2 linked regions of the Lepisosteus oculatus genome follow. The protein of the gene in region 1 purifies or fractionates together with the protein of each later gene. This does not show direct contact. Links are inferred from orthologs where the notes say so. Each region holds a gene or a part of one and is shown on either strand. Other genes may lie near its edges.

Region 1 (9,659 bases):
AGAATAACCAGTGTTTGGTTTTGTATGTCTTAACACATATTAATGTTCCTTTTAAAAGAAACTGCTATTCTCCAAACTTTGGTTTCCTGTCAGGTACTTTGAAAAACTGAAGCTTTATTTCTCCGTAGAGTTTAAATTACAACTAACCTTAAGCCATAATGATCATAATGAATTCAGATCTCTTGCGTTAAATTGCTTTCTGCCGATCACCTGTTTTAGCTTGTTTTCAACAAATAGCAAAGAAAAAGCTTTTTGTCAAATGTTAATGTGTGGCTTTCAGATTTTGTTTGTTCATTCTTCGTTTTCTAAATTGTGAAATGTTTGTATCATAAATCTCATTTTTGTTTGTTTTAAGAGAGTTTGTAAAGTGTAAAATACTTTTATTCCTAAAATAAAAGCAGCTTCTATGAGTAATCAGCAACTGATTCCTGTCTGTATCTTATACAGCTCAGACTTAGCATAAGGTGGATGAGGAAAGTTTGTGAGGTACATACTGTATCGTATTTGATCAGTGTTTTGTTCATGAGGCCAAGTGTCTGTCAGTTTGGCCTTCTATGACCCGGTATTCCTGTATACTGATGTATATACAATATGTTCTTTAACAAATATAATATGATTAAAGAATACAAGAGATAAGATATACAATATCTCAGTTTTCTTACATGCTCCTTGTATGATGTGGTTAAATAGAAAGTAAAATAAAAGTTTAGATAAACAACATGTTTGTGCAAGTCAAATGGGGCATTGTCATTTTATAATAGTAAGATACTGTAGTTGAGTTCTAGTTGCATTACATAAGCAACTTTTGCTGTTTTACTGTGTGTAGTTTTATTTGGGGTGTGTTTAACAAAGCTTGATTACAGATTTGAATTGGAAAGCTTAGATTAGTTTCCAAAATTGTGATTGATCCATGGGTGCAGTTCCTACAGGGCTTTCAACAGAAATGTACAGTCAATACCTTTTTGCCTGTAATGTGTAGTGTTTCTCACTAGAGGTCTCCTTTTCATAATAAAGTTATGCAACAGCTTAATCAAAAAATGATTTTTAAAAACAATTATATCAGAGTGTGATGTCTTTATCTTATCTTATAATGGCTAAATGGCAGTATTTTAGTCTTTCTTATGAAAAGACAGTAAATTAGCTTTCTTGGACCAGGTCCTGCCAATTATGATCTCCAGTTTCATTTGCACAAGCTAAACAAAAAGGCATCACGTACACATTTGCTCTTAAAATTGAATAAGGCATGTGTGAGAAAAAGAAATGACACCTAGCACTTTAGATTTTGTCTGCAGCTACAGTACATGGAACTATTTCAGTAGGAGTGGTATTGTAGCGTATTACAGAAGGGTTTGTTTTTGCTCTGCTTCTTATTGATTCGTTATAGAACCAATTACCCCCAGCAATTTTCTTTATCCATATAATTCCCTTGGACAGTTTACAAAACTCAGGTTTTTGTTTCAGTTATTGGAAAGTCAACTTATTTTCTCTTGTAGCTCAAGTAGGGAGCTGCATCAGCAGGCATAGGCTGCAAAGGAACAAGTGCAGGCTTATTCCATGTTGAAAAGAGAAGAAAAGAATCGTTTCAGCTGTAGAGCCTTCTTCAGGTGTTATTTTCTCTTGTACTGTGTATTTTAATAAGGTGTCCATGGCTCCAATTAATTGCTCCGGGATCTGCTGTTCACGCAGAATGTTGCTCTGGTGGACTAAAGCAGCTGAAACGTTTATGGGAGGATCTGTGTGTAAGCACCGGTGAGCCGCTGTTCCGTACATGGCCTCAGGAGCTGCTCCGCTCACTTGAAAAGAGAGCACTTTACTGCATTATGCACCGATTCTAAAACATTTAGAAGAGGGCTCGGGGAAATTACCCTTCCTTCTGCAAGGTGCCGAAAGTCAAGCCAATTAATAATCCACAAAGGGACTGAGAGGAGTGGTATCTGTGAAAATCATGGGGAAGATTAAATTGCATCCTAGATGTTATTGATGTGCTCTTATGGTGTATTAGAAGTTTTGTAAAAAACAACAACATGGGGGTATCCACTGCTACCACTGGACTTGAACAGACCTAAAACCTTTAGGTATATGACTCCCTTGTGACTCTATTCTTTATAAATTGTTCTGCCTTGAATTGAATCACTATCAGTCCAATATCGTTCTGTACCTTGCCATGCCTTTGATGAGCAACAGTGTAAACAGTCTGGACAAGAACAGGATAAGTCCATTGACATCTGTTACTATGCATTAGTATCATCTTCTCACTTAGAAGCATGAATAAATACAGCAATATTCTACAATTGTCTTCTGTCAGCAACTGAAAACAGCAGTGAGATCTGTGAAAATCAGCTTTGCAATGAAGTATCAAAAAATATTGATACCCTTTATAACCGATTTTTAGCCTGACTTGATTGTTTAGATTGTTATCATAAATAGCATTCAATAGAAAAAATGCTGTCTCTAATTTTATGTGATAAGCAGAGTAAATATAAAACTGGGCACTTTGCAGCATACACCATACAGCTCTTTTCTTCTGTTATTTTCCAAAAATATGTTTTTTAGGGAAAGGCTGACATTAAAACAGATTGCATGAGTTTCCCAACTTGCAGGTCTGCGGGAGAAATAAGGACAAATTCATCTGGGCATTTTAAATTAATATTTTAAAAATTCCATTAGAATTTATCCTGAAATTAGGTTACTAATTCCTCTATATCTCATTAACGCTGCTTAAATTTATGCAAAAATGTCCGTCCTTTCATGTTGACTACAGTTATCCTGCAAATTGAAAGCTACCTGGATTATTCATCATCTAAAATTCAATTGGCTGTAATTATCTAAAGTGCCTCAGCAAAAATGTAGTATTTGGGAAGGACATGGCTTAAACTGTTAGAAGGAATCCATAAAATAATTCCTTGCTGTTGCTGTATATACTGTAGCAGTTATTATGCCAGTGATCCCAATGTACAATACATATAGGATGGGACCCACTTTCTCTTCATTGGATTCTAAAACAAAACTCCACATCGAAAGAGCCTCAGGCAAGAACTGAACATTGGAACCAAGTGCTTCTCTAGTTGAGAGTGCTGTCATGCAGCAGTCCTACTGTAACGGCCATGCCACCACACTTCTGTCAGTGGAGAAAACAGATTCTAAAAATAAGGCATTCCATAGGTATATACTGTATTCAGTGCTGAGAAAACATCAGATCAGCAGCTTTTATAGCATCTGTACATTCATCTCATGTGAAACTCTTCTGAGATACAGGTTATTTCCCGCAATTTATAAGTTTAGAATGACTTATGTTCAGTACATTTCACATCAAACAAATTATTAAAATGATGGCCTCCGTTTTGCTGTGCAAAGAAATGTTGTCATTCTTTTTCTGCACCTGGTTGTTGTTGGACCACCTGGATGATGATGACTTTTTTAAAGAATTTTGTAGGTTGGCGGAACAAATCTTGTCTTGAATTTGCTTAATACCTGTAGGAGAACAAATACTTTTTTTTTCAAATGTACCTTTCACCTAAGCTATTGCTTAGTGAAAATGCTTGTTTTAATGAAAATACATTTTACATGCTGAGCTGGTTTGCATTCACTCTTTTCCTTTTTCGCTTAAAAGGAAAGGTTATTAAAACACATGCTATATCTGCTGATATCTGGCATGTCAGCGGAATGACTTTTGTCGGACCAGACTGACGTATCTTTCTTGTGTTTCAGGCTGTTGTGTGTTTCTAAAGCCCAGCAGGTACTATTGTACAGTATACCACAGCATTTGTTTAATGTACCTTGTTCTTTAAAGAAAATGATCTTTCTGATATATAATTCAATTTATTGAACAGTCATTACTCATACAGTATCACATGATAATTGATTTGTAAACCATGAAATACAACATAAAGGGTGTATTAGTGCATTGGTGCATTCATTCAGGCCTGCTGCAATCATGTTATGAATAGATTCAGGGATCACAACTCACCAGTCACACCAGGAGGGGCGTTATGGACAAGCTCGGAGATATGAATGGGCTGTTTCCCTGGTTACAAAGCACAGTGCAGGGGTAAATAGGCCAATCAATGTGGGTAACTTGAAATGAAATATCAAATTAATCTGCAGTAACTGCACCCAGTTGACTTGAGCTCACTTATTAGTGGAGTGAGACAGCATGAATATTAAGAGATAGAAACCATTAATAGGTAATACACTACAAACTCTGTATAGGATAAAGGATAAGAAAGAAGTTTATGAAATGATTAAAATAACAACAGGGTCCAATTAATGAAAAGTAAAACAGGATATTTGGGATATTCCAGTAGAGGCTTAAGTAAAATAAAACTAGAAAGTTGTTCTAGCATTGAAACAGCAGAAGAGCCTTAAAAGATGGCTGATGCACTATTACTAAGTGCTGTTGCCAAGTGGGCTGGATGGGTCAAGTGAACTCCCCTCATTTGTAACGTGTTTTATGAACAGTATTTCACTCAGGTGATCACCAAGGAAGAAGTCAATAGAATGCCAGGTGGTGGAAGGACAACGTTCTTAATATTATTTCTTATCACATTCAGGATATAGGATATACATATGTGGAAAATGTGCATATTTGGATTGACAATAATAAAAAACAGGATACAGATAAGAGGCAAATGCTAAGATTTGGGCACACTAATTAATAGAGTACCACAGGGATCTATACTAGAACCACTGCTCTGATTCTGGGTATTTAATAAACTAGTCACGTTTGCAGGTTATACCAAAATAGGAGTCGCAAATAAAATTCAAAAAGCTTTAGATAAAAATTGCAGACTAGGAAAACACCTGACATATGATGTTAAATTGAGGGTGTTGCATGCAGATACCCCTAAACCTTAACTAGGTTTGAACAGAAAAGGCTTCAAAGAGACCTAGTGTATTCAGAGTCCTTAAAGGCACTTACATTGAACCACTTAAACACGTGGTAACTGTTCCGAATGACCTCGGCATTGTATTTTTTTTTTGACTTGGCTGCTACAATAGCAATATTCATTGCAACAAGAAAAAATGTATATACTGTAACCACTTTTTGGTTGACAACATCCAATTCTGACACCATTTCAAGTAACTAAAGTATTATTTAATATTTTTCAGAAGTTTAACTTGCCCTGCTGTGCACTCCATTGAATTAACGACGGATTTTGCATTTTAAGTTGATTTGTTTTCTGAGACGATGACGACAAAGACGATTCTCCTTGTTTTTCCGGTTAATATCAACGTACACAGGTCCGCTCCGCCTGTTTCTGGGGACCTGGAATGAGAAGCTGGCGCCTCGCCTCCCAATCTCTCTCTCTCTGTGTGTGTGTGTTGTTTCTCTCGCCTCTCCTCCTTAACTGGATTTCCATCGCAGCATCCCTGCTACTGGGCTACTACTTTCTCCAGGAGCGAACGAATGGATATATAATAATAGGGCAGAGAATGGCGGATAGAGAAAAAAGAAACCCGTCTCCAACTGGATCCCCTTTCTTGGGTTTGCACATCACCTCCTCGCCTAATTTCAGGTAATAGAGCTCAGGATAATCAAAGGGTACCGCAAACCCCTATCGAGCCTAAGGGCTTTTCGGATAACGAAGCTGGTGACGGATTGAAAACAGTGACAGGCTATAGCAGATAGATTGTTACTGCAGAAAGGGGATGCTCATGAATATACTGTAGTAGTGGTTGCTTCCGAGACGGAAAGTGCATTGTTTTTTTCCGTGCATCCCGTTATGTAAATTGAATCGATACAGAGAACCGGGGCAAGGCTGGCGGACGCACACAAATAGTTGCTGTTTACAAACACGAGTCTTTCTCATGTAAATTAAAGGGCGTAGTCCATTTTTATTCAGGTGAACAGATTGAAAACTCCCGTGATCTTGACGACACTGCGCGGAGGAAACAAAACAGATATCAAAGCTCTGTTTGTTGCTGTTAGAAGTTGGAAAGCGCTGCACGTTATTTTGTTACTGTTTTTGGTTTGGGCTTATTATTTTGCATCAAATCTCGAACACGAATGAACTCATTGATCATTTGGAATTGATGAGAATATTAGGCGAAAAGACTACTCGTGAAATCTAAATATCACCATTATTTACTCTTCACTAGAAATGTAAAATATAGATTTAACATACTATAAATATATTACGTATCTACTGTACCTATTTATCTAAATAGAGGCATCACACAGCTTTTCAGGTATGTGTGCAACTGGTTGACAGCAACAGTCATAGTGCTTGTGTGTGAAAAGTCGATACAGAGCGTGAATGGTTTGTTACTAGTTTGGTAGTAACTTTATAATTACCTGACCTTATAATCGAGAAATATGCATTGTATTTATTCAAGATATTAAGCAAATAAGAGTAAATCCGAACATGCATTATTCTGCTAAATACTTAAGCTCGGAGAGAGGTCGCTATTAGAACTTTGAATCTGTTGTCCATTTTATGGCATTCAAACCTCCTAAATCCAGTACATTACTACAGCCTTTGCACTTGTGCATAATTTTGCTTCAAGAACTTAAGGATGCTTTGATTGAATCTGTTATCTGCAGAAAGAAAACAACCTTGGAAACATGTTTCTGTTTCATAGCATTGTGGTTAAAAAATCACAGCAAACATTTCACTTTTCCATCAGCATAAACGTTATAGATCAGAAGCCTTTATGGTCTCTAAGGGTAACATGTTTCACCATTTTTATCAGGGTGCAGGATGTGTACATCTCTTTTAAAGGGGAAACAAGAAAATGCAGTGATGAGATCTGTCATGCACAGTGTGTGGGGTATGTGCAGTGGTTCGGCTGCTGCTGCCACAGAGTATACAGAGAAAAAATGATGAGATCTTGCTGTACAAAAATATGTTACAGTGACATATTCATATCTAGTGGGGTTTCAAAACTCAACAAATTAGGAAAGTATTTGTGCTGAACGTCAGAAACTGCTCCTGACAAGTATCTTTGCATCTGATTGAAGTGGATAAAAATGTGCACCAGCCAATATTTTCTTGCAGTGTGGGATGCTGTCCCATTGCAATTGCATACCAAGAATAAGATGCTGACATTAACAAGTAAACAATCATTGCACAGACTGTTGTGATTATTACGGTGACTAAAGTACATGACAAATGTATTGTTATACTGTGCACAATACTGAAAACTCAGTATTTATGTACTGAGTTTTCAACCTGTCAAAAATATTAACACACTGTAAAGGAATGTCCACACTTGCTTTATTTATGTACAGTATGTGTTTAACTTTCAAGAGACGTAATCTGTCACAGAACTAAGTCAGGATGCACTACAGGGACTGTCATTGCCTACATTATTCAGTAAATTCCATAAAATAATAATCTGTAAATCCCTTTTTTTGTTACGTTTAGCTTTCCTGTATTTCTGGGATAACCTTTAAAAATCCCCAGCACTTCACATGTTGGCTGGTTCCCAACAGAAAGACATCTGTTGACTTATTTTTTATTTACAGTCATTTGCAAGGGTTAGTTTCACAACATGTTATTGCAGTCGTTTAAAAAACTAGTGTGATATTTTTAATGCTATCTTCTGCTGAAGGCTCAATGGCCCTTATGTGACTTTTCCGGTGTACAGATTGCCTTCCATCAACAAATGAATGCATTAATGACTGAATAATGATAATAATAGAATTCTGTAATTTGCAGCAAATTAAATCTGACTGCCTGCATACTGAAAGTACCTGCTTAGTTGATTCAGTATGCTCTTCATGCATCTTTTAGTTCTTTTCAGAAATGTAATCTAAAATGTCAGTAATGTTGGAATTAGATAAACAAATCATTTTTAGCAGGACCTTTCCTTTGGTTTTCATGCTATTGAAAATGATTTAATTTCATCAGGGGCAACAGGAGGTTAGGTTCTAGACTTGTAACTGGAAGGTTGTGGGTTCCAATCCCAGCTGAGGCTCTGCTGTTGCACTCTTGAGCAAGGTAGTACTTCAACCAAATTGCTCCAGTTGCACCATACCCAGCTGTATAAATATGTGCAAATGCAGTTCAATTTGGATCAAACCATCAGCCAAATAAATTAATAATAACGAAGGAGAAAGTAGAAGAGGGGAAAGATTGTGAAATTTGGGAAACAAATCAAGTGTCATCTGAATGGTCAGTGCATACATACTGCATGCTCATACCTATCTCTCTGTTATCAGGCAGCCAGTCATTTTTAGTGATTATAATAAAAGTGATGCAGAAATAAGTCAATATAAATACAAATGGAGATGTTTAGTAGAGCTCACATAGTATAGTTGTGATTGCCACAGCATTATCCAAATTACCTCTAATTAAATAACAATTGAATGTTAACAGTTATAAATTATAAATACTATAATGTTATCCTGATATCCATGGAATACTATACTTTGCTAAAAGCTAGTCCTGTTATTCAATATAAGAGTTATGAATATAAGCTATAATATGAGCTAAATAAATATCAGAATTATGTTAAATATACTACAGTTTTGTCTTTGGCAAATCATACAGTACAGTATATCATACAAAAATCTATGATGATAATTCCCAGTGTTTATTGATTTTTTACTGACTTATTCATGCATGTAATATTGTGACATAAAACTCATATTACATCTTGATCAAGTATCCTGACCTCAGTTTCCCTAATTTCAAGTCCTTTGATTACAAATGCACAGTAAACAGCACTCCGGATTTGGTGTTTTGAGTTTGTAATTAAGGGAAATTGCCCATGATGTACAACCTTATTTCACATTTAGTTTTCCTAATTTAGAGCTGATTTAATGTCCAAGGCAGTATTTGTGTTCTGAAGCAAAGATGTTGTTTTTCATGAGAAAAACAAAATTGAATAAGATAAGAAGACTAATTAAGGTACCTAGTGGATCACACACACAGCACACCGGGTATGCATTTTTTATTCTCAAAGACCTTAAACTCTGTTTGGCTTGGGGACAAATGCAGGCCATTTACAGTATGTTATAAAAGTGGAATCCATTCAAAGTAGTTGCAGATTCTTTTTCATCTTCTTTTTGTATTGGACACTTGTTATATTTATTACTACCCATAACATAAGGCACATTCTTCTATGTCCTGAAAGCCACTTGTGATCTCAGGCATGTCTTTGATCACTGACATACATTTGACTCTGAAACTGCTGTGAACAGCCTTTGTGTTGAGGAGTGTTCTGCTTACCACCTATTTTTAAGTGGGTGATCTGACAGAAGTTCAATACTAACATTTTGGGCAGTAGTTATCAGTTGTTTTCATATGATTGGCTCTCCTTTTGATGTTACCATTCCATAAGCATTCAGCTGATTTTTCAACAATAAGTCCTGTGGTCTCTTATTAACGCTGCCCTCATGTTAATATTTATGTAAAGAAATTAAAGATTTCCAGTTCTGGTCAATAGGAATATAATTGTCCTAATAGAAAAAAACAGTCCTAGACCATATGTTTCTTTGAGTTGATACAGTTTACCCTTTAAGCAAATGTAAAGCAGAAATTCTATAATAAAAAATAAAGTAATAGTTGTAATGTAGTACAGTAGCATTCTTGCATTGCTTTATGGATTAGACCTTTTAAAATGCATTCCTTTATTTCACCGAGTCTTCTTCGTTTGTTTATGTTTCTTACAAATACAGTATAAATTGGTGCTGTGAATAGGGACAAAATACA
Region 2 (9,335 bases), on another chromosome or scaffold:
GTGTGGGTGTCTCTGGGTCTGTGTCTGTGTTGTGTGGGTGTGTGAGTGTCTCTGTGTCTATGTCTGTGTTGTGTGGGTGTTTCTCTGGGTCTGTATCTGGGTTGTGTGAGTGTGTGTGTTTCTCTGGGTCTATGTCTGGGTTCTGTGGGTGTCTCTGGGTCTGTGTCTGTGTTGTGTGGGTGTCTCTGGGTCTGTGTCTGGGTCGTGTGGGTGTCTCTGGGTCTGTGTCTGGGTTGTGTGAGTGTGTCTGGGTTGTATGGGTGTCTCTTGGTCTGCATCTGCGTTGTGTGGGTGTCTCTCACTGGGCTCTCTTCTTTGTCTGCAGGTTTTATGCGGCCTGTGTGGTTCTGGGGCTGCAGTTTCTGCACGATCACAAGATTGTGTACCGGTGAGTACCAAGATTCCCTCCCTGTTTCTCATTCATGTCACCAGACTGCTGTCAGCCTTCCTCTCCTCCTCCTCTCCCTCTGTCACCGCTGTCCCTCACGGTGTCTTCCTCTCCTCCTCAGGGACCTGAAGTTGGACAACTTGCTCTTGGACACGGAGGGCTATGTGAAGATTGCGGACTTCGGCCTGTGTAAAGAAGGTGTGTGCGCGCCTGGCCGTGTCGCTCGGTCCGACGGCCAGTGTGTCCCGTCAGCTGGCTTGTCCCTCACTGCTGTCCCCTCTCTGCGTCAGGGATGGGCTACGGCGACCGGACCAGTACGTTCTGCGGGACCCCGGAGTTCCTGGCCCCCGAAGTGCTGACTGACACGTCGTACACGCGGGCGGTGGACTGGTGGGGGCTGGGGGTGCTGGTGTACGAGATGCTGGTGGGCGAGGTGAGGGGCCGTTTGTTTCTGTCGTCACGGCATTCGAGTCCCTGTGCTCCTCTCTCTTTTTGTCGTTTTCCGCGTTATTAACGTACTGCGTGGAACTGTCGGAGCCTGTGGAATTACAACCGTACCGACACGCTGCCTGTGTTTCAGTCTCCTTTCCCAGGTGACGATGAGGAGGAGGTGTTCGACAGCATCGTTAATGATGAAGTCCGTTACCCACGATTCCTCTCCACCGAGGCCATTGGCATCATGAGACGGGTGAGGTTCTCCCCTCGGCCAATCACAGGCCGGCCTTGTGCCGTCAGCCACCTAGAAAAGGCAAATCACACACCAGCTCCTGCTGTCGTGTCTCTTATTAAATGAGAACCCATTAGAAGAACTTAACAAAAGGTCAGAGATGAGAAGACGCTGTTCAGCACACTGAGTTTGCTTGCCAGGGATTTGTCCCGGGATCTTATCCAGCTGTTTCTGTTATGGGCTTGAGCCACACAGCTGGACCTCCTCTTGGCCTGTGGGGGTTGGCCGTGGTCCACTCATGATTATTGTGTCGTCCCACTGATGCACTGTGGGCACTGTCTGTGTGCAGCTCCTGCGGAGGAACCCAGAGCGCAGACTGGGCTCCACTGAGAGGGATGCCGATGATGTGAAGAAGCAGCCCTTCTTCAGGGTAAGCGTCTCACTGTCTAGCTCTCTCTCATCATCCTTGTTCGCTGTCTGTAAGCTCTCCCTCATTCTGCCCTCTGGTGTCTAACCTCTCTCTATCTCCGGGTTTGTGTGTCCACTGTCTGGATCTCTCTGCTCTCTTCCCTCTCTGATCTTTATTCCTTATCTCGTCCTGGCTCCATCCATCTCCCAGGGGGTAGATTGGGAGGTGCTGTGTCTAACCAGTCTCTCGCTCTTTCAGGGGGTGGACTGGGAGATTCTGAGTAACCTGTCTCCTCTCTCAGGGGGTGGACTGGGAGGTGCTGAGTAACCTGTCTCTCTCTCTCAGGGGGTGGACTGGGAGGTGCTGTGTCTAACCTGTCTCTCTCTCTCAGAGGATGGACTGGGAGGTGCTGTGTCTAACCTGTCTCTCTCTCTCCGAGGATGGACTGGGAGGTGCTGTGTCTAACCTGTCTCTCTCTCCCAGGGGGTGGACTGGGAGGTGCTGTGTCTAACCTGTCTCTCTCTCCCAGGGGGTGGACTGGGAGGCGCTGCTCCAGCGGCAGGTGAAGCCGCCCTTCGTGCCTTCCATCGTGGGGAAGGAGGACGTCAGCAACTTCGACGAGGAGTTCACGACAGAGGCGCCCACCCTGACCCCACCCCGAGAGCCCCGCCCGCTCTCCCGCAAGGAGCAGGAGAGCTTCAAGGACTTTGACTACGTCTCCGACCTCTGCTAGCCCTGCTGCGCCTGGACAGAGGGGGCGCTGTCTGCCTGCCTGTCCGTCTCGGCGCTGCGACCGAGGGAGACTTTGGGCAGTGTGTCTGCCCCTGGACACCTGGACCCTGGACTGTTCCCAGAGCGCTCCCTCCTCTGCTTCCCTGCGCGCTGCCTTCGTCCCTCTCCCTCTCCGGACAAGAGGATGTGGATTAGGTCAGCGGACTCTCGGGAATGACATATTCCCGCGCGCAGGCCGAGCTGCAGAGAAGGGGAGAGGGAGAGGTGACGGGGTTCGAGCAGAGACCCAGCCCCGGTGCGGCAGCTCGTGTGGCATGGGTCCTCAGTGAAGGAGGGAGGAGGGGACTGAGCAGCACAAGGTGTGGTAGGGTGGTGGGCAGGCAGTGTGCCTTTTCCGCCTAAACACCGAGAGAGAGGAGGAGGAGCAAGAGACTTCCGGTTATACTGTGATAGAGGTGGTGAGGGGTGGGGCTGTAGCACCGACCGAAGCCTTAACGTTTCGAGAGCTGTCTTGCGGGGCTGGCATGAGTAGAGCGAGAGGTTTGCAGACTGAAGCCTGCAGCGCTGGAGGAACGAGTCGCTCCAATTATATTTTTAAAATGCTTTTAGTACGTGTGTGTGTGTGAACAGGGGGGGGATCGAGCAGAGCGGATGAGCAGGACATGAAGGAGACACAACCAGCCGGGATCGGGAGTGGTCACTCCAGACCCGATTCTGAAGGTCCGGTTCATGTGGAGAAGGAGTGGTCACTCCAGACCCGATTCTGAAGGTCCGGTTCATGTGGAGAAGGAGTGGTCACTCCAGACCCGATTCTGAAGGTCCGGTTCATGTGGAGTAGAAGTGGTCACTCCAGACCCGATTCTGAAGGTCCGGATCATGTGGAGTAGAAGTGGTCACTCCAGACCCGATTCTGAAGGTCCGGATCATGTGGAGAAGGAGTGGTCACTCCAGACCCGATTCTGAAGGTCCGGATCATGTGGAGAAGGAGTGGTCACTCCAGACCCGATTCTGAAGGTCCGGTTCATGTGGAGAAGGAGTGGTCACTCCAGACCCGATTCTGAAGGTCCGGTTCGCGTGGAGTAGAAGTGGTCACTCCAGACCCGATTTTGAAGGTCCGGTTCGCGTGGAGTAGAAGTGGTCACTCCAGACCCGATTTTGAAGGTCCGGTTCGCGTGGAGAAGGAGTGGTCACTCCAGACCCGATTCTGAAGGTCCGGATCATATGGAGAAGGAGTGGTCACTCCAGACCCGATTCTGAAGGTCCGGTTCATGTGGAGAAGGAGTGGTCACTCCAGACCCGATTCTGAAGGTCCGGATCATATGGAGAAGGAGTGGTCACTCCAGACCCGATTCTGAAGGTCCGGATCATATGGAGAAGGAGTGGTCACTCCAGACCCGATTCTGAGGGTCCGGTTCATGTGGAGTAGAAGTGGTCACTCCAGACCCGATTCTGAAGGTCCGGATCATGTGGAGAAGGAGTGGTCACTCCAGACCTGGTTCTTGTGGAGCTTGTGAAGGTTTGAAAAGTTCTGTTATTATTTTACAGTAAGTGAAATTTTAGTTTCAGGATTTAAAATAATATTAATGATGATATTAACAAAGTTGTGTAAATTATACCGAGTACATTATGCAGAAAAAAAACATTGTGGAAGTAGTGAAGGACTGAATGATTAAATTTTTATTTTTACTCTTAATTTTCCTGTTTAATGTATCTTTTTTATAAAGGGCTTTTCTAACACAAGTGTGTTTAGTGTCACTGGGAAAACATACAGCAAGCAGTCTCAGGAATCTCTCTCAGGTGACCCAAAGATCCATGTCACCCCAAAATCAGCATTGTACCAAATTGTCCCCCAATAATGGGATCTTATTGAAACCCTTCCAATAGGAAGTCTCCTGTTTCCTGGACTGGTTTCATTTAACCTTGGCCAGCTGTGCAGTTCATGTGGAGTTTTTACAGAAGGTTCCTGCAGGATTTACTCAGGTTTCACAGAGGATTCAGGCCGGATTCATGCAGGGTTCACAGGGGATTCAGGCCGGATTCATGCAGGGTTCACAGAGGATTCAGGCCGGATTTATGGAGGGGTTCACAGAGGATTCAGGCTGGATTCATGCAGGGTTCACAGAGGATTCAGGCTGGATTCATGCAGGGTTCACAGAGGATTCAGGCCGGAGTTACGTAAGGTGCAAAGAATTTATGCAGGGTTCACAAAGAGCACATACAGGATTTACGCAGGATTCACACAGGCTTTACAAAGCATTTACACAAGATACACAAGGGGATTGCAGGATTTACCAGGTTTCAAGCTAGATATATGCAGGGTTCAGAGAGGGTTCATGTTGTATTTACACAGAAATTACACGGGGTTCACAGTATTTACACAGGGTTCATGTAGTATTTACACGGGAATTACAGAGGGTTCACAGTATTTACACAGGGTTCATGTAGTTACACGGGAATTACAGAGGGTTCACAGTATTTACAGAGGGTTCACACAGGATTTACTCAGGGTTCACAGGAGATTCAGGCAGGATTACTCAGGGTTCACAGGGGATTCACATGGGACTTACACAATTCATAAAGGGTTCATGCAGGATTTGTGCAGTATTCACAGAAGGCTGGTTCCACAGTCTCTAGTCTGTATTCTCTCTCCTCTCACACATACTGTCCACAGTCTCCTGTCTGTATCTCTCCTCTCACACATACTGTCCACAGCCTCTGTGGAGTGACATCTTTCCCCATAATTCTGAAAAAAATTCACCCATGATACAACAGCACTAATGATAATGATTAGAGATACAATGTGTTCTATGATTATACTCTGAAAATAAAATTCTACAAAATATGTTGATTTGTCAGTCCTCCAGGACCACGTGAGGCGCTCTAACACGGCATATTACTCTTATTTTAAACAATTACAAAAAGTCCAAATACAGTGTTTGTCTCCACAATGGTAGAGTGCATTCCTCTCATAATGTCAGTATCATTGTATTTATTGTCATCATTATTATGAGGGTTGTCTCTGTCGGTTCGTAAATGCTACACTGTCTGGATATCTATGGCACCGGATAGTTGGTAGTGTAGTCATCCACTATCCCAGCATGCCACTTAGGGAGAGTCTGTGGAGAGATTGTGCGCACTCGGTGGTACCTCTCAGTTTTTCCAAAATGTCGTCGTTGGAGCAGAGACTCTCCCGAATCGAGGAGAAACTAAAACAGGAGAATAAAGAAGCGCGAAGGCGCATCGACCTCAACATCGATATGAGCCCGCAGCGTGCCCGACCCCGACCCAGTGAGTCTTGGAGCCGGTAGAGCCGGGAGCGGTGGTGGGGGTCGGCAGGAATTTGGGACAGGGACGGGGAGAGGGAGGGGAACGAGGAGGAGGGGAGATCGAAAATCTGTAGACATTTCTACACAAACCGCAGCGCCCGCCGGACCCCGGGTGCCGGACGGGTCCGGTATTCGGGACCTGAAGCGGACACGAGTGAAGTTCCTCTCCGGTTTGCGGGTCTGGACTCGGACCTGCAGGCCGCGGCTCTGCCTGGTCGTCCAGTCCCGTCGCTTTCCGGCGCCGCTGTCCGGTTTCTTGTTTTTTGTTTTTCAGTTTCATTTCATTTTCGTGCTTAGTGGTTTAAAATGTGACCAAGGAAGCGGCAGGGCGGCCCTGTCGCCTCCTGTAAACACCGCAGCCGTGACGGGACCGCCGTGGCGCGACCTTGTGACGGGTTAAGTTACGTTGCAGCTTCTGTCTTGGACTTGAGCACAAAGCTCAGCAAGACGTGTGAAAACATCCGTACGGGTGTCAGCTCCTGTCTCGCAGGCGTGTTTGAGAAGGTCTGTAGGTGGAGGAGCTGTCTTCACTCCGCAGAAGAGTGCCGGGATTGTAAACCCGTGTGTTTGGATTGGCTTGCGTTTGTCGGTCATCTGAAATAGAAAGTAGTCATTCGGCACGTTAAACGTGGTTGTCTGTCTGACAGTGGCATAGTTTACTGATATGCACAGAGCAGGACAGGGAGAGACAGGAGACAGGACAGGATCCCTCAGTTCTACATGTGCAATAGGACAGGAGACCAAGGAAGTAACAGAATCCTTCAGTGAGAAACACACAGTAGGACAGTAGACACTGGAGCTAAAACACTGACACCATAATTATAGATGAACACACCGAAGGAGTTGTTTCTTCTATCCCGCCTGCTGGGTTTGTTGATTGTAGAAACAGCATTTACTCGTGGGGTCACTGCGAGAGTAGCTGTTTGTGTGCAAGTGATGCAAAGCGGTGCACACGGCGATTACAACTTTGTATGCTGTGGTTTGCAGTGTGCATAGCTGTCTGTGGATATACAGTGTGTATATTTCATTATAACTGTGTGTAGCAGTGTACATTATGCACAGCTGGTTATAGCAGAGTGGACAGTGTGTGGAAGTGGACAGTGTATACGGCTGGTTATAGCAGACTGGACAGTGTGTGGAAGTGGACAGTGTATACGGCTGGTTATAGCAGACTGGACAGTGTGTGGAAGTGGACAGTGTATACGGCTGGACAGTGTGTATAGCTGGTTATAGCAGACTGGACAGTGTGTGGAAGTGGACAGTGTATACAGCTGGTTATAGCAGACTGGACAGTGTGTGGAAGTGGACAGTGTACGGCTGGTTATAGCAGAGTGGACAGTGTGTGGAAGTGGACAGTGTATACGACTGGTTATAGCAGAGTGGACAGTGTGTGGAAGTGGACAGTGTATACAGCTGGTTATAGCAGAGTGGACAGTGTGTGGAAGTGGACAGTGTATACGGCTGGTTATAGCAGAGTGGACAGTGTGTGGAAGTGGACAGTGTATACGGCTGGTTATAGCAGACTGGACAGTGTGTGGAAGTGGACAGTGTATACGGCTGGTTATAGCAGAGTGGACAGTGTGTATAACTGGTTATAGCAGAGTGGACAGTTGGTATGGCTGGTTATAGCAGAGTGGACAGCGTGTACAGAATTGGATAGTGTACGGCTGGTTAAAGCACTGGACAGTGTGTATAGAAGTGGACTTTGTACAGCTGGTTATAGCAGTGAGGACAGCTGGTTATAGCACAGTGGACAGTGAGGGTGGGAGTGGACAGTGAGTACAGCTGGTTATAGCACAGTGGACAGTGAGGGTGGGAGTGGACAGTGTGTACAGCTGGTTATAGCAGTGCAGTCTCTAAGTATTTGGACAATTTTGGTTGTTTTGGCTCTGTACTCCAGCACATTGGATTTGAAATGAAACAATGACTATGAGGTTAAAGTGCAGAATGTCAGCTTTAATTCGAGGGTATTTACGTCTATATTGGGTGAACCATATAGGAATCACAGCCCTTTTTATACATAGTCCTCCCATTTCAAGGGGTTTAAATGTAATTTGACACATTAACATAATCTTAAATAAAATGGTCATGTTTAGTACTTTGTGGCAAGTCCTTTGCAGTTGATGATTGCCTGAAGTCTGCCATCCGTAGACATCACCAGAAGCTGGGTAACTTCCCTGGTGATGCTCTGCCAGGCCTGTAATGCAGCCATTTTCAGTTCCTGCTTGTTTCGGGGGCTTTTTGCCTTCAGTCTTGTCTTCAGTAAGTGAAATGCATGCTCAGTGGGATTCAGGTTGGGTCATTGACTTGGCCAGTCAACAACGTTCCACTTCTTGACCCTGAAAAGCCCCATAGTTGCTTTGGCAGTATGTTTGGGGTCGCTGTCCTGCTGCAAGGTGAAGTGCCGTCCAATGAGTTTTGTGCCATTTGGTTGGATTTGAGCAGATAAGATGCTTCTGTACACTTCAGAATTCATCCTGCTGCTGCTGTTGGCTCACTTGTCTTTATTGGTGATGTGACTGCCAGTTCTACTGGCAGCCATACATGCCCAAGCCAAGACACTACCTCCACCATGTTCCACAGTGGTAGATCCTGGAGAGTGTTCTCGATCTGTTCAGCAGTCGAAAAGGGGTTTTTCTTCACGATTGACAGTATTTTTCTGTCATCCACTACTGTGGTCTTCCGTGGTCTACCAGGTCGTTTGCTGTTGCTAAGCTCACCAGTGCGTTCTTGCTTCCTAACAATGTACCAGACAGTTGATTTTGACACACCTAATGTTTTGGCTACGTCTCTGATTGGTTTATTCTGACGTTTCAGCCTCATGATGGCCTGTTTTTACTGGCATTGACACTTCTGTGGTCCTCATGTTGAGAGACCACAGCAACAGACTCCGGATGCAAATGCCACGTCTAGAATCAACTCGAGACCTTTTGTGCATGAACTAACGATGCAACAACACACAGAAACTGAGCAGCCACTTGTCTAATTACTTTTGATCCCTTGAAATGGGAGGACTATGTATAAAAAGGGCTGTGATTCCTATATGGTTCACCCAATATAGACGTAAACACCCTTGAATTAAGGCTGACATTCTGCACTTTAACCTCATAGTCATTGTTTCATTTCAAATCCAATGTGCTGGAGTACAGAGCCAAAACAACCAAAATTGGGTCACTGTCCAAATACTTAGGGACTGCACTGTAGCTGTGTGCACAGTGTGTGTGGGAGTGGACAGTGTGAACAGCTGGTTATAGCAGAGTGGACAGTGTGTGTGGAAGTGGACAGTGTGTCCAGCTGGTTATAGCAGAGTGGACATTATGTACAGCTGGTTTTAGCAGTGTGCACAGTAATATGTGTACAGTTGTGCAGCAGTGTGCACAGCAATGTGTGCGGCAGTATATACAGTTGTGCAGCAGTGTGTACAGTAATGTGTGTGTCTTCTCTCTCCTCTCCCTGTCCAGTCATCGTGATCCAGCTCAGTCCCGCTCCAGCCCCCTCCCAGCGCGCAGGTACCATTTCAATACATCCCTCACTCCGGCCACTGCAGCCCTATACCCTCCCTCTCTCTCTCCGTCCAGCCTGTCTCCCTCTATCTCTCTCTCCGTCCAGCCTGTCTCTCCCTCTCTCTCTCTCTCCGTCCAGCCTGTCTCTCCCTCTCCCTCCCTCTCCCTCTCCGTCCAGCCTGTCCCTCCCTCTCTCTCCGTCCAGCCTGTCCCTCCCTCTCCCTCTCTCTCTGTCCAGCCTGTCCCTCCCTCTCCCTCTCTCTCTGTCCAGCCTGTCCCTCCCTCTCCCTCTCTCTCTCTCCGTCCAGCC

What was found.
Region 2: the proteins of mapk8ip1a (region 1) and map2k7 purify together in Homo sapiens (affinity purification with western blotting; 3 studies listed by BioGRID and IntAct, with this or other methods). This does not show direct contact. The link is inferred for Lepisosteus oculatus from reciprocal best matches to the Homo sapiens genes MAPK8IP1 and MAP2K7.

Annotation. Positions count from the first base shown.
Region 1 is NC_090716.1:6,359,494-6,369,152, forward strand, and holds the start of mapk8ip1a (C-Jun-amino-terminal kinase-interacting protein 1a), read left to right. Parts: upstream 1-5,232; 5' UTR 5,233-5,271; coding exon 5,272-5,516; intron 5,517-9,659. UniProt on the Homo sapiens protein: The JNK-interacting protein (JIP) group of scaffold proteins selectively mediates JNK signaling by aggregating specific components of the MAPK cascade to form a functional JNK signaling module. Required for JNK activation in response to excitotoxic stress.
Region 2 is NC_090706.1:13,861,142-13,870,476, reverse strand, and holds the start of map2k7 (dual specificity mitogen-activated protein kinase kinase 7), read left to right. Parts: upstream 1-5,267; 5' UTR 5,268-5,294; coding exon 5,295-5,484; intron 5,485-8,983; coding exon 8,984-9,031; intron 9,032-9,335. Other genes in the region: pkn1a (serine/threonine-protein kinase N1), read left to right, coding at 326-388, 510-586, 679-821, 969-1,076, 1,405-1,485, 1,994-2,197. UniProt on the Homo sapiens protein: Dual specificity protein kinase which acts as an essential component of the MAP kinase signal transduction pathway. Essential component of the stress-activated protein kinase/c-Jun N-terminal kinase (SAP/JNK) signaling pathway.